Neurospora crassa OR74A: one gene and its partners. The protein of the gene in region 2 interacts with the protein of the main gene of each other region in a pairwise test. Links are inferred from orthologs where the notes say so. Each region holds a gene or a part of one and is shown on either strand. Other genes may lie near its edges.

Region 1 (3,972 bases), on a different chromosome or scaffold from region 2:
TGGGACGAAGTTCGAAGCGAAGGGAACGGGAGGATTAGGGCAGGGAATGGAAGGAAAGGACATGATTTCATGGCCTGCACACATGACTTTTTTGGCTGGATAGTGGTGTTGTTGTTGTAGCTGCATGCTGTGTGCGAAGGATCACACACGGCTTTGGGGAGGGATGGTGGGGGTTTTCATCTATTTCCGTCTTGTTTTTTCTCAGGGTTTTGAAGGCTGCTGTTACTGCTACGTTCTTATACCTGCTGCTGCGATAGTATGTACTGCTGCTTTTTTTTTGGTCCTGTTTCTTTGCGGCCGTCGAATCAACAAATCTACACTACTTGTTGTTTGGTCTTTTTTGGTTATGGCTGCTTTGTTTCTTGTCACATATCATCACCACAGTACTAGAAAAGGCCGGGTCGAGTTAAGGAGATGAAGAGAATGGAGCAAGAAAGCAAGCAAGCAAGCCAAGCGAGCGAGTGAAGAGAGTATAGTATGGTGAGAAAGAAATAAGAGCAAGCCAAGTGAAGTACAACTCAAATCTGCAAAAGTAAAAAGTGTATATTATCTAATGATTCATTAACACCATGCGCACCGTTTTGATAACTACTTTTTGGGTCTTTGGATTCATGAATGGCTCTGTTGAAAGCAAAAGCAAGCGACATACCAGTGGGATGGGATGGTTGTGTGGTGATGAATGAATGCGTGGACTCGCACACTTCAGAAGGATATATGTGTTTGGTGCAGGATTAACTTGCTATTCGTGCTCGTGAGTTTAGGTTTATACAGTATATGTGCTCAACTTCGAAAAGGTTCCAGATCATTTTGTATAGCAGCTCTACCGTAAAATAAAGTAGATATAGACGAAAAGAACCCACGGGAAGGAATCCGCAATGCTTGCACGGTGTTGATAGGTATTGCTTTATATTCCTGGATTTCTTGAACAAGACAAGAACATCATTCCGTGTGTAGTTCAACAAGCTTTCCAGATTTCCCTGTCACATCATAAATGAGACTAGCCTTGGCCCTCGATTGTTTACTCGTCCTGTATGACTACTCCTTCTGAGTTACGTCGAGAAAAGGGGTCGGGGAAAAGAGAACCCTTGTGGCTGGCACTCACAAGCATTGCCTGCCGGGTGGCACCATATATGTGGGGTGTGCCTGCATCAGCTCACGAACACGCGCTTGACGGAACAGCTCCCCCAATAAGTAGCTTACCCCTGGAACTTTTCTTTTTCTCGACTATTTGAGCTTCTCCTACGCTAGACAATTACCGTTGCAAGACTTGTTGAGGCATAGCCCTGCTGTCAAGTTCTTGGGTGGTCTGCCCTTGGCTTCTCCAAGCTCACTCAGCGCAACAATGGCGGCGGAGATACCTAGGAGTCTGCTCGTGCAGCTCCGGACCGCTTTGGAGGATACACCGTACGTGCATAATACACTCTGCCTTTTCCCTCCTACACCTTTCCGGTACGCTCATAACCTTACTGACAAGCCCACCACAACAGGGTAGTAGGAAGCTACATTCCCGAATCATCATGGGCTCTCGTCTGGTCAGCCCTCGCCGCGCTGGCCGTCTGGTACATGGCGAGCCGCGAAGACCAGCCGATCCGCTACACGATTCCTCCCGCCAACTTCCCCAAGGAGGAGAACATCCTTGAAAACCCCTCGATCAAAGCCTCGGGTACCTCAGCGATCCAATGCTACGCCCCTGCCACCGGCCAATTCCTCGGCTTCGTCAACCCCTCGACCCCCGAAGGCATCGACCGCGCTATCGACCAAGCCCACGCCGCCCAGGTCGAATGGGCCAAGACCACCTTCCGCCAGCGCCGCGCCGTCCTCCGGTCACTGCTTCAATACGTGCTCGACAACCAGGAGGAGATCTGCAGGGTGGCCTGTCTCGACAGCGGCAAGACCATGGTAGACGCTCAGCTGGGCGAGATCCTCGTTACGGCCGAGAAGCTGCAGTGGACTATCAAGCATGGCGAGAAGGCGCTGCGCCCGGAGTCGAGGCCTACGAACCTGTTGATGGCGTATAAGAGGAACACGGTGCACTACGAGCCGCTGGGCGTGGTTGCTGCGCTGGTGAGCTGGAACTACCCGTTTCACAACTTGATCGGACCGGTGATTAGCGCGCTGTTTGCGGGCAACGGTATTGTAGTCAAGGTATCGGAGCAGACGGCTTGGAGCTCGCAGTGGTTTACGAGTGTGATCAGGGGCGCGTTGGTTGCGCATGGTCATAATCCTGCGCTTGTTCGTACGTATCACTGGTCTCTTGTTCCTACAGCTTACCTTGGCCCTTGCTAACAAACCTGTTCCGCACAGAAACCGTAGTCTGCTGGCCCCAAACGGCCAACCACATCACCTCTCATCCCAAAATCAGCCACATCACTTTCATCGGCTCCCAGCCCGTCTGCAAGAAAGTCGCCGAATCGGCTTCCAAGGCCCTCATTCCCGTTCTCGCCGAGCTCGGCGGCAAAGACGCCTCCATCATCCTCGCCTCGGCCCCCAAGTCCGACCTCCCTCGCATCGTCAACACGCTCATGCGCGGCACGTTCCAAGCCTCCGGGCAGAACTGCATCGGCATCGAGCGCATCGTCGTCGCCCCCCAACACTACGACACCCTCCTCTCCATGCTCACCCCGCGCGTGCGCGCTCTTCGTCTGGGTCCCACCGCTGATGTGGGCGCCATGATCTCGGATAACGCTTTTGCTCGTCTCGAAGGACTGGTCGCTGACGCCGTTAAACAAGGCGCTAGACTCCTGGCCGGCGGCAAGCGGTACGCACACCCTGAATACCCAAGCGGTCATTACTTCGTGCCTACCCTTCTCGTAGACGTTACGCCGGACATGGCTATCGCGCAAGAAGAGTGCTTCGGGCCCATTATGGTGGTGATGCGCGCCGCTTCGTCCTCGGCAGAAGACATCCTCGCCGTAGCCAACGCGCCCGACTTTGGCTTGGGCAGCTCCGTGTTCGGATCGGAATGGGATTCCACGCTGCACGAGGTGGTCAGGGGGTTGAAGGCGGGTATGGTAGCCGTCAACGATTTCGGAGCTACGTATGCGGTGCAGCTTCCCTTTGGAGGCGTGGCGGGGTCGGGATATGGAAGGTTTGCGGGCGAGGAAGGACTGCGGGGGTTGTGTAATATCAAGGCGGTTTGTGAGGATCGGTTTGGTTGGCTGGGTGTGAGGACGGCGATACCGCGGCCGATGCAGTATCCGGTTCCTGATCAGGAGCGGAGCTGGAGGTTTGCAAGGGGCGTGGTGGAGGTTGGGTATGGGATGGGCTTGGGGAGGAAGGTGGGTGGGGTGGTGGGGATTTTGAGTAATAGCTAGGATCGGATGTCGATATGTTGGAGGTGGAAGGGCAGACGTTGGTGATGCTATACTTGGATTATCTCTAGACGGGAGTGGTTCCGCTGCGGACAACAGACAACGGGTCAACGGCCCGGTATATGCATATACCGTAGATCTTCTTCCCGTTGGGATGAAGAGAAGAGGATGATACGGTAGTCAATAATACCTAATGCATAAGACGAGCCAAGAATAACATTGGCAGTATGATGTGATGTTGGAATCCATGGAACTGGACCCTGAATTGCGTTGATGAGTCATGGTGTCAGTCAGTTTCAGATATCAAGACAAGAAGACCCTTGAATAATCAATGGAAATATTGACATCACATCATATGGCTACCCATGTCTCCATGTGTTAGGTAGTATACACTACACTACAAAAAAAGAAAAGAATGAATGAAAGAGTACAGTACCTAGGTATCCGCCCTTGAAGGCCCCAACGTCTGTCTCCAGCAAAAAGGCTCCAGTTAAAAGCTTGTTTATCAGTTTATTCCCCGCGGAATGAAGGGATTCTTGGCCATGCGGGATGATTGATTGATGACGGACTAATGTTTTCTTGTCTATTGGATGTCTTCCGAATTCAGAATCGCCCGACTGAATCCACCGATATCTTCTACTAGATAGTGTACACAACATAG
Region 2 (3,489 bases):
AGGAAGGGGAGTTAGTTCGTTGGGTTTACATGTAGGTGATGAAGATAAGGATTAGCGAAGGGAGAGATAAAACGTACAAAGGAGACGCGCCCGCATGGTGGCGGGGTCCTCGCCGACTCTCCGGAGCGGCTCGATCTTGAAGGTGGCGCCTTGCAGTTCGCCGACGTCGAGGTCCTTCTTTTGCTGGTTATCTGTGCTGTCGTTGCTGGCCGATCGCGAAAAGGCAATGACGTGTCTGCTGGCGACGGAGGCGGGGCGCACAGCGGCAGCGCGCGCAAAGGTGGCGGCCGCGGGCCGGAGGGCGCGAAGAGAGGAAGCCATTGTTGCGACGATTTGTCTAGGTGCTTTTGGCGAACTGACTGAAGACGGATTGTTGTAGCCGAAATAGAGCGACGGCCAAGGTTAGGTGTGTAAATCGCTCGGATGAAGCGGATAGTGTGGAGAGGGTGCCGTTGCGCGAACTAGGTAACTGCTCCGGCTTATAAATGAGGATGTCGAAGTGATGGGAATTGTTGTAGGATTCCGTTCGGGGCCGATTACAGACGCTACAATACCCCGTCCCTTACACTAGTTCGGCGGGCTTGGCAAGTGATCATACAATGGGGGCCGAGGCCGAAAAATTGTTGCCGGTTCCGGTTCATCCCTCCGCATCTCCGTTGTCAATCCATGACATCGCCACCGTCTCCAGTGCCTCTATCGCCAATTGCTCATGTTTCGACTCATCACCACAACAACGCCCACGACGCCCATAACGCCTTTTGGATGCGACTTCTCTTGGTATGCACCGGGCAGATTTTCGCTCTCAAATAGTCTTGAACTTCCAAAAGTAGACGGCTCACTCAGCATGCAGTCAATTCTCCTTTTTACTCCATAACTTTTTGGTTGAAACACATTACCGTATATAGTTACACCAGAAATCTCCAACCTATTGTATGCCATTCGCTCGCCTGCGTTGCGTGTAGTAAAGAGTTCATAAAACCTCCCGCCCGTCGTTACCATGAAGCCGTATAATAAATAAGGTAGTTTGGACAGTGGTAGTTGTGGGTCGTCATCGTAGGTTGCGCCCAGCCCATTAAATAAGATGCTTAGATCTAAGCAGATTTATGTTAGTAACTGAACCCATTTGCTCCGCTAGATGGGAAAACGAACCTGAAGTACGCCCTGAGGTACATAATCTGCCACCCCCAGAGAGCAATGAGGAGGAAAGTGGTGGCCATGCCAAACCACTTAACACGGTTGTTGGTGCTCTCATTGGTATCACGGAGCTTCTGCTCACGAGCGCGCAAGTAATCCATTTCGTTAACAACCTCGCCGACCAGCTCCTCGATGCGGCGCAGATCGGTTTCAAGTGGCTTAAGCTTCTCGGTGGCCTGGATGGCGGACCAGTCCTTGGCATCGGCACCAATGTCGATATCGAGCTCGACGTGGCGGCGGGGGTTCTCGACATACTTGGCTGATCATCGCAATCTTGTCAGTTTCCCATCCGAGCTTTTGCTGGTTGTTTTGCTAATTTTCGTCATGGCCAAGGAATGTACGTACAACCAGTAAGGTAGTTCTCGAAGCACACGTCGAAGGCTGCGTCGTGATGCGAGGTGAAGACGATGCGCTGCTCGCCAGCAATATCCTTGGCCTTGCCGTACTCGTTTCCGTGGCTATCGGAGATCTGTGTCGCGTCCAAAGTCAGACTCGTCCATGTAATTGACCGCCCCATAATCCATCCCCTAGCCCCTTTAACTTGCACCCAGGAGGGAGAGCACCTACGTGCATGTTGACGTTCATGCCATCGCCCTTGTATCCGTCAAGCGTAGCCGTTACAACCACCAATGTGTCCTTGTTGACAAAGTTCCGTATGCATCGTCGCTGGTTGCTGTGGTGTGAAGAGGTAGCCTCAAGGTCGAACTTGAGAGCTTGGGCGGCACCGGCGAGCAGCAGGAAGCCGCTCAGCAGCGACTTTAGGGATGCCATGATCGCTGATTGATAGGATGATCTAGAACGTGGGACGGCGGCCGGGACAAAAAAAGTTTGAAAGTGTCGTCGAGTTGTCAACACAGTCCGGCGAAGCTATGCAGTGCGTGACCTGATCGTATCGCGGAAGGTGGGCTGTCTGTATTAATGGGAATAGCTCCGCGACTTGGATCTAGGGGAAATCTGGCGGCTTCTCTTTGGGCAGGCAACTTAAGGACAGCTGAGACAGGTCTGGAGCATGTCCACAACGGCTTGACAGCAGGAGTGCCCTTGTTGTGCCAATCAGCAGCCGCGAACCGATCAGGGGAGCTCTTTTTTGGGGAAGCCTTAGAGGATCCACTATTGCCAAGCACCTCGAGGACCAACCTGGTCCCGCTTTGGTCATCGCGTCCCATTGTGTGTGTCCAGTGCACTTCAGCCTTGCAAACCTTCTTTTGTCTTCGTCGTTGTCGCGCGCCGTATCATTGTTGCCATCCAACTTGCGACTTTCTCCGAGGGCAGCCACAGAGATTTCGAATAACCCCGTCTTGAAAGGTTTCGCGATCACAATCTACCAAAATGCCAAAATGTGAGTACTGCTTGGACCGCTCATCTTCAACTCGATGCTGACGACATCTTGTACAGTCTTTTGCGACTACTGCGATGTGTACCTCACGCACGATTCCATGAGCGTCCGCAAGGCGCACAACAGCGGTCGTAACCATTTACGAAACGTTGTTGACTACTACCAACGTACGGCACAATAAGCCCCCAATCCACCATTTCCGACTTCACCGCATAACTAATGCGATTTTGTTTTACAGAGATTGGTCACGAGAAGGCCCAATCCGTTATCGATTCGATTACCTCCTCGTACGCCGCCGAAGGCCAAGCCCACGCCAATCCTATGCTCCCGCAGAACCAACCCGGCGGAGTCCCTCCCGGCCTCGGCTTCCCGCCCCCGGGCGCCGGCGTTCCCCCCTTCCCGCCTTTCCCTGGCGGCATGCCTCCTCCGTTCCCAGGCATGCCCGGTGGCGCGCCGGTGCCCCCTCCCGGAGCCTTTGGTGCCCCAGGCGTGCCCGGCGGTATTCCTCCTCCTGGAGCGCCAGGAGCTCGCGGAATGCCTCCAATGCCCCCATTTCCTGGTATGCCTGGCGCTCCTGCTGGTATACCTGGCGTACCGCCTCCGATGCCCGGTCCTGGTGGTCTGCCATTCCCGCCCCCAGGAGGTCTACCCTTCCCCCCACCTGGAGCAGGAAACTTTCCCTTCCCCCCTCCCGGTGCGCCAGGTGCGTTCCCCGGTATGCCACCTTTTGGCGCCCCTGGTCAAGGGCCTCCGGGTGCCGACAAGAGGTGAAGTAGTTTGGTGTACGATGAGAGTAGCTTGAGAAAGGGCACGACAACATAGCAACCTGGGTCAGGCCGCCAAAACGAGCATAATATTCACAGCTTTCAGTTTCGGATTTCATTCAATTGGTGTTTACAATTGGGTTTCATTTTCTCGGAACACGATACCAAGATTCTACGGCGGCGCTGAAGGCGTTA
Region 3 (4,068 bases), on a different chromosome or scaffold from region 2:
TTCCGTGGTTGTTGTTGGCTTCTTGGTGGCGGCGGTCTGTGGTGCCTTGGAGGAGGTGAACTTCTGCACTGCGTGTTCGAGGCGAACCCAGCTCACGAGAAGAGCGGAGAAGACGAGGTAGAAGAGGCCCTCGTAGGAGATGGTGAGGATGACAAATGTCGGAGCGCAGGTGAGGAAGATGACGAGGATCCGGTGCATGTAGTGGTTGTTGGGCCGCAAACGGTAGGCCAAGGGCATGAGTAGTGATGCGACTATTGTTGAGCTTGGGTTAGAGAAGAGTCACCAGCTGCGGCAGGCATTGCGAGGACTTACCAAGAGTAACCCAACCCATAATTTGATTGCCGCGAGGCAGGCCTTGCTTGGCCTGCAGCGAAAGGGCACTGGAGCGAGTGATGATGATAGATAGTACAGTGAGGCCCACTTGAATACCGACGAGTGACCTGGAGAGGTGGTTCCTGGAAGTAGGCTTCGCGTTCCATGAGAAGTCCGCGAGGACAAAGTCCTCGAAGATAAGGTAAAGAAGGCCGATGACGACCATCAATACGCCTCCGATAGTACTACGCACCAATTAGTGAGTGGGAGAAACAACAATTAAGGGGTAGGTATACGAACATGAGATTGACGTTCTCTGCCTTCATCGCCGGGAGGAGCGTGAACGTGCTCATGGCGATACAGGCGAGGAACCAGGTGGCAGACAGCGCCCCATGCTTCTTGAGGAACGACAGGCCGTGGGTGAAAGGCCAGAAGGAACCCAGCACGAAGAGAACGGAAAGAATCTCGCGGTGGATGTAGCCCAGGGCAAGCGATTCAATGACGCCAACATAAAGCGCGCTGTTGAGCACGAATGAAGCCACACTTCCACCTGAGTTGATATGGCCAAGCAACTCCTTGCGACCTGCCGCCAGACTTTCGCGATGCGCATAAACTTCCTCCCAGAAAAAGACCGGGAAGAAGGCATAGACATAGTAAGTGAGGGGTGACTTTGAAATGACGAGGGACGCATAAAGAGCAACGAGAACCGATGTGAAGAACAAGCCCCCGCCAAGCGTTCTCGACGGTCGCACACGACCATGTAGGACGTGCAAATCAACGACTGTTGTAAGAGCATAGGCGATCCAGCCAAGATAACCGATGGTGATGAGCGCTCTCAGGAACAGCCAGTCGTAGGTCTGGAGATATCTCAAGCCACCGAGACCGACCTTCATAAGGGCAGCTGATTCTTCGATAGCTTCCTCATACCGACCAGCGTCAATGAGCTGGCGAATCTCGGCAACACGACGTTCTGGGGACAGGCCGTTTTCTCCGAATGGCTGATACGGCCTATACTTCAACTCGGTGGCTTTCTTCTTTTCCTCCTTCACCCGGTATTGCTCCAAAATACCCTGCACGTTCACCAGCGAAGCCTCAGCCTTTTCCTTGATGTCGGCAGCAAGGTAAGACAGGGGGAGTTCGCCGACCGAGTTGGCAGGAAACTCAACGCCAACAAGGTAGGACATGAGAGCAGCAACATCAGCCTGAGCGACATCATGCCTCCTAACGTGGTCCAAGTTCCAGTCTGCAGAGTACTCATCATGGCCGGGCGCCACTTCGCCTGGGTACAACTGAGGCTTGGCAACCCCTGAACCCCAAACAATCAGGGGGGTCCGTGTGTTGTCTGGGTGACCATCACCATGGCTTCCCCAGTCGCTCATGCCGTGGTCCGCGGTAAATACAAACGCAGTCCTACCATCGCGGTAGAAGTCGCGGAAGAGCTCAGCAACCTCCTTCACGCCCTGATCCACAATCTTGATGTTGTTGAGGTACTCCTTCGAGTAAGGGCGGTATGAATGACCAGTAGTATCCAAACCTAGCAGATGCAGAAAGAAGACAATCTTGTCTTGGCGAAGCGCCTCAGCAAGCGTCTTGTTCCTGCGGGCCTCAGCAAAGAAATCCTTTACATGGTCAAAGACCCAGAGGTCGAGCTGGGTGGCGTCGGATGAGAAATCCTCGAACTCGTGTCCGTACGTGTAGGCGTCAACCCTCCCCGGGACAGCTCCCTGCTCGAACATTGGTAGAATATCCGGGCTGCCCCAGCTCCACGTATGCCGACTGCGGTTGAACAAGCTGTCAAAGTTGACCGGGTTCAATTTCCATCCTGTCGTAACGGCTGACACATCTTCGTACAGACCGGCGATGAGGGCAACATGACCGGGTCGAGATTCGGTCGGCACACGCGTATGGGAGACACCAAAGGTTCCCTGTTCCAAGATCTTTGATCGCAGATAGGGGGCGAGAGGTCTCGGAGTCAGATCGGCATCGGATTTGGGATATGGTTCAGGGTGGGACTGAAGGGCCTTGTCGGCGCGCAAGCCGTCTCCTGGAAGAATGAAACCGTGGTTAGCGCTTGGCCGCAACACATTAGGCTCGGAGTAGCCCACTTACCTACGAACAGAACCAGCCGGTCCGCTGGCGCACTGCGATTTGGGGGTCGTTGAACATTAAATAGGCGCATGCCAGTCTCAATGGGACTGACAAAATAGATGTCGAAGATGGAAAAGATATAGGCGAAGTGAAAGATGACGGCGATGGCCAGAAACCTGAACCGTGGAAAGGCCGCCATGATGAAGTCGATTTGAGGCCAAAAATGGCCGTTCAAGGATGGACGTATGCGTAAATTGTACAATTACTATATCGAGCTCTGTTGTATATGCGAATCGTGGATATTAAGTCGGGCGCATCATGGCGCAGCAGTTGGATGTCGACAAAGTTAGGGGGGGGGGGGGGGCTTCGTTCAATGGTATGCCCTGGACGCGAAGCAGAGCTTGGGAGTTTAACACAGCTGGTTGAAGCGAAGGAAAAGGGTCACAGAGGCCCTCAAGGCACTTGGAAGAAGATCAACCAAAGCTCAGCTGCCAAAAATAGAAGAAGAAAAAAAGTCAAGGGACTGTGTAAAGCTCGAGGTTCCAGTTGCGATTCATGGTGCCAATGCCACCACGACGGGGGGAGCTGTTCAGGCTAGGCGTTGAGCCAGTGAGGTACCTGCACCGCATGGCAGCCCCGGAATACTGAAACTCGTGGCCCGTCAGGGTGCACGCCAACTGTCAGGCAGCCTGTCAAGAGTGTCTGTCGGTCAGTTTCGGCTACTTGGTAGGTACCTACAGTAGTGCTTTGGGTGCTCCTTCCCCTGCGGAGAGACGGGAACCAGGCACCCAGGGGCCCCGCACGGGCGCCACTCGAGAAACCAACCAAAGCCGCTAAACGTGACTTCGCGGGGAGCGCTGGCTTGCCTGCCGGGCAAATTCACGTCGACGACGCGCCTCACACATCAATCATTTATCGGCTTTAGTTTGCTCTTTTGATAACTTCCACCTTGACTCCATCGACTTTGATTAGCCCAAGCTATCACTGCTAACGAAGGTAGTGTCTTCAGATCAATAAACGTTTTGTTCTCGCCATGGAGGATTACAAGACGTACTTGGCCGAGAATATCCTCAGTGAGGACAAGGTGGTAGGTCACCCACCCGATTACAACTGGTTGATGGCATTGAAGCTCAAAGGTGCAGAGCCGCGACTAACATGAGACCAAACTTCAGGTCACCTATCGCTTGCTGAGTCGGGCCCTGCGTGTACATCCAAATGTAGCGAAACAGTAAGTTAACGAGCGGAAGATTCAAGAATCAGCAATGACTTACACCAAACAGAATGCTCTATGATTTCCACAAGACCCAGAGCAGCAAGAAGCCCGGGACTGTCTATGCCACTTACATGCTATACGGTATCAAGAAGTCTGTCCAGAATCAAAATGGCAACGCCATGGACATCGACTTGCCTTCTTCGCTTCCCGACGCGGACCCGGTTGATGACGAAGAAGTGCCCTCATACACTCTCGTACTGGTCCAGGAGGAGCGGTTAGCAGACGTCCTCAAAGAGTACGAGACAATAACATCGATACATGTTTACAGCGTCGGACCTCACCCAGCCAAGGATCTTACGCTGCTTGTTGATGCCGCTCAAAGTGCGCTAGCCATCAAGGATGATGCTAAGAAACCACAGCCCCGTCCCATCGTCAACTCTCACGTACGCCGAAGA

The links. The genes of interacting proteins can lie anywhere in the genome.
Region 1: the proteins of NCU01342 (region 2) and NCU07442 interact in a protein complementation assay, tested with the Saccharomyces cerevisiae proteins (2 studies listed by BioGRID). The link is inferred for Neurospora crassa OR74A from reciprocal best matches to the Saccharomyces cerevisiae genes ERV25 and MSC7.
Region 3: the proteins of NCU01342 (region 2) and gpip-2 interact in a protein complementation assay, tested with the Saccharomyces cerevisiae proteins (2 studies listed by BioGRID). The link is inferred for Neurospora crassa OR74A from reciprocal best matches to the Saccharomyces cerevisiae genes ERV25 and MCD4.

The regions. Positions count from the first base shown.
Region 1 is NC_026501.1:614,542-618,513, forward strand, and holds NCU07442 (betaine aldehyde dehydrogenase), read left to right. Parts: upstream 1-1,172; 5' UTR 1,173-1,342; coding exon 1,343-1,404; intron 1,405-1,487; coding exon 1,488-2,236; intron 2,237-2,304; coding exon 2,305-3,314; 3' UTR 3,315-3,669; downstream 3,670-3,972.
Region 2 is NC_026505.1:3,710,344-3,713,832, reverse strand, and holds NCU01342 (endoplasmic reticulum vesicle protein 25), read right to left. Parts: upstream 2,103-3,489; 5' UTR 1,966-2,102; coding exon 1,762-1,965; intron 1,664-1,761; coding exon 1,540-1,663; intron 1,454-1,539; coding exon 1,150-1,453; intron 1,092-1,149; coding exon 1,073-1,091; 3' UTR 501-1,072; downstream 1-500. Other genes in the region: NCU01343 (TPR repeat protein), read right to left, coding at 78-321; NCU01341 (U1 small nuclear ribonucleoprotein C), read left to right, coding at 2,524-2,533, 2,590-2,697, 2,769-3,301.
Region 3 is NC_026504.1:3,862,102-3,866,169, reverse strand, and holds the start of gpip-2 (GPI ethanolamine phosphate transferase 1), read right to left. Parts: upstream 2,801-4,068; 5' UTR 2,600-2,800; coding exon 2,422-2,599; intron 2,357-2,421; coding exon 613-2,356; intron 558-612; coding exon 313-557; intron 252-312; coding exon 1-251. Other genes in the region: NCU07998 (hypothetical protein), read left to right, coding at 3,434-3,487, 3,573-3,628, 3,681-4,068. UniProt on the Saccharomyces cerevisiae protein: Ethanolamine phosphate transferase involved in glycosylphosphatidylinositol-anchor biosynthesis. Transfers ethanolamine phosphate to the first alpha-1,4-linked mannose of the glycosylphosphatidylinositol precursor of GPI-anchor.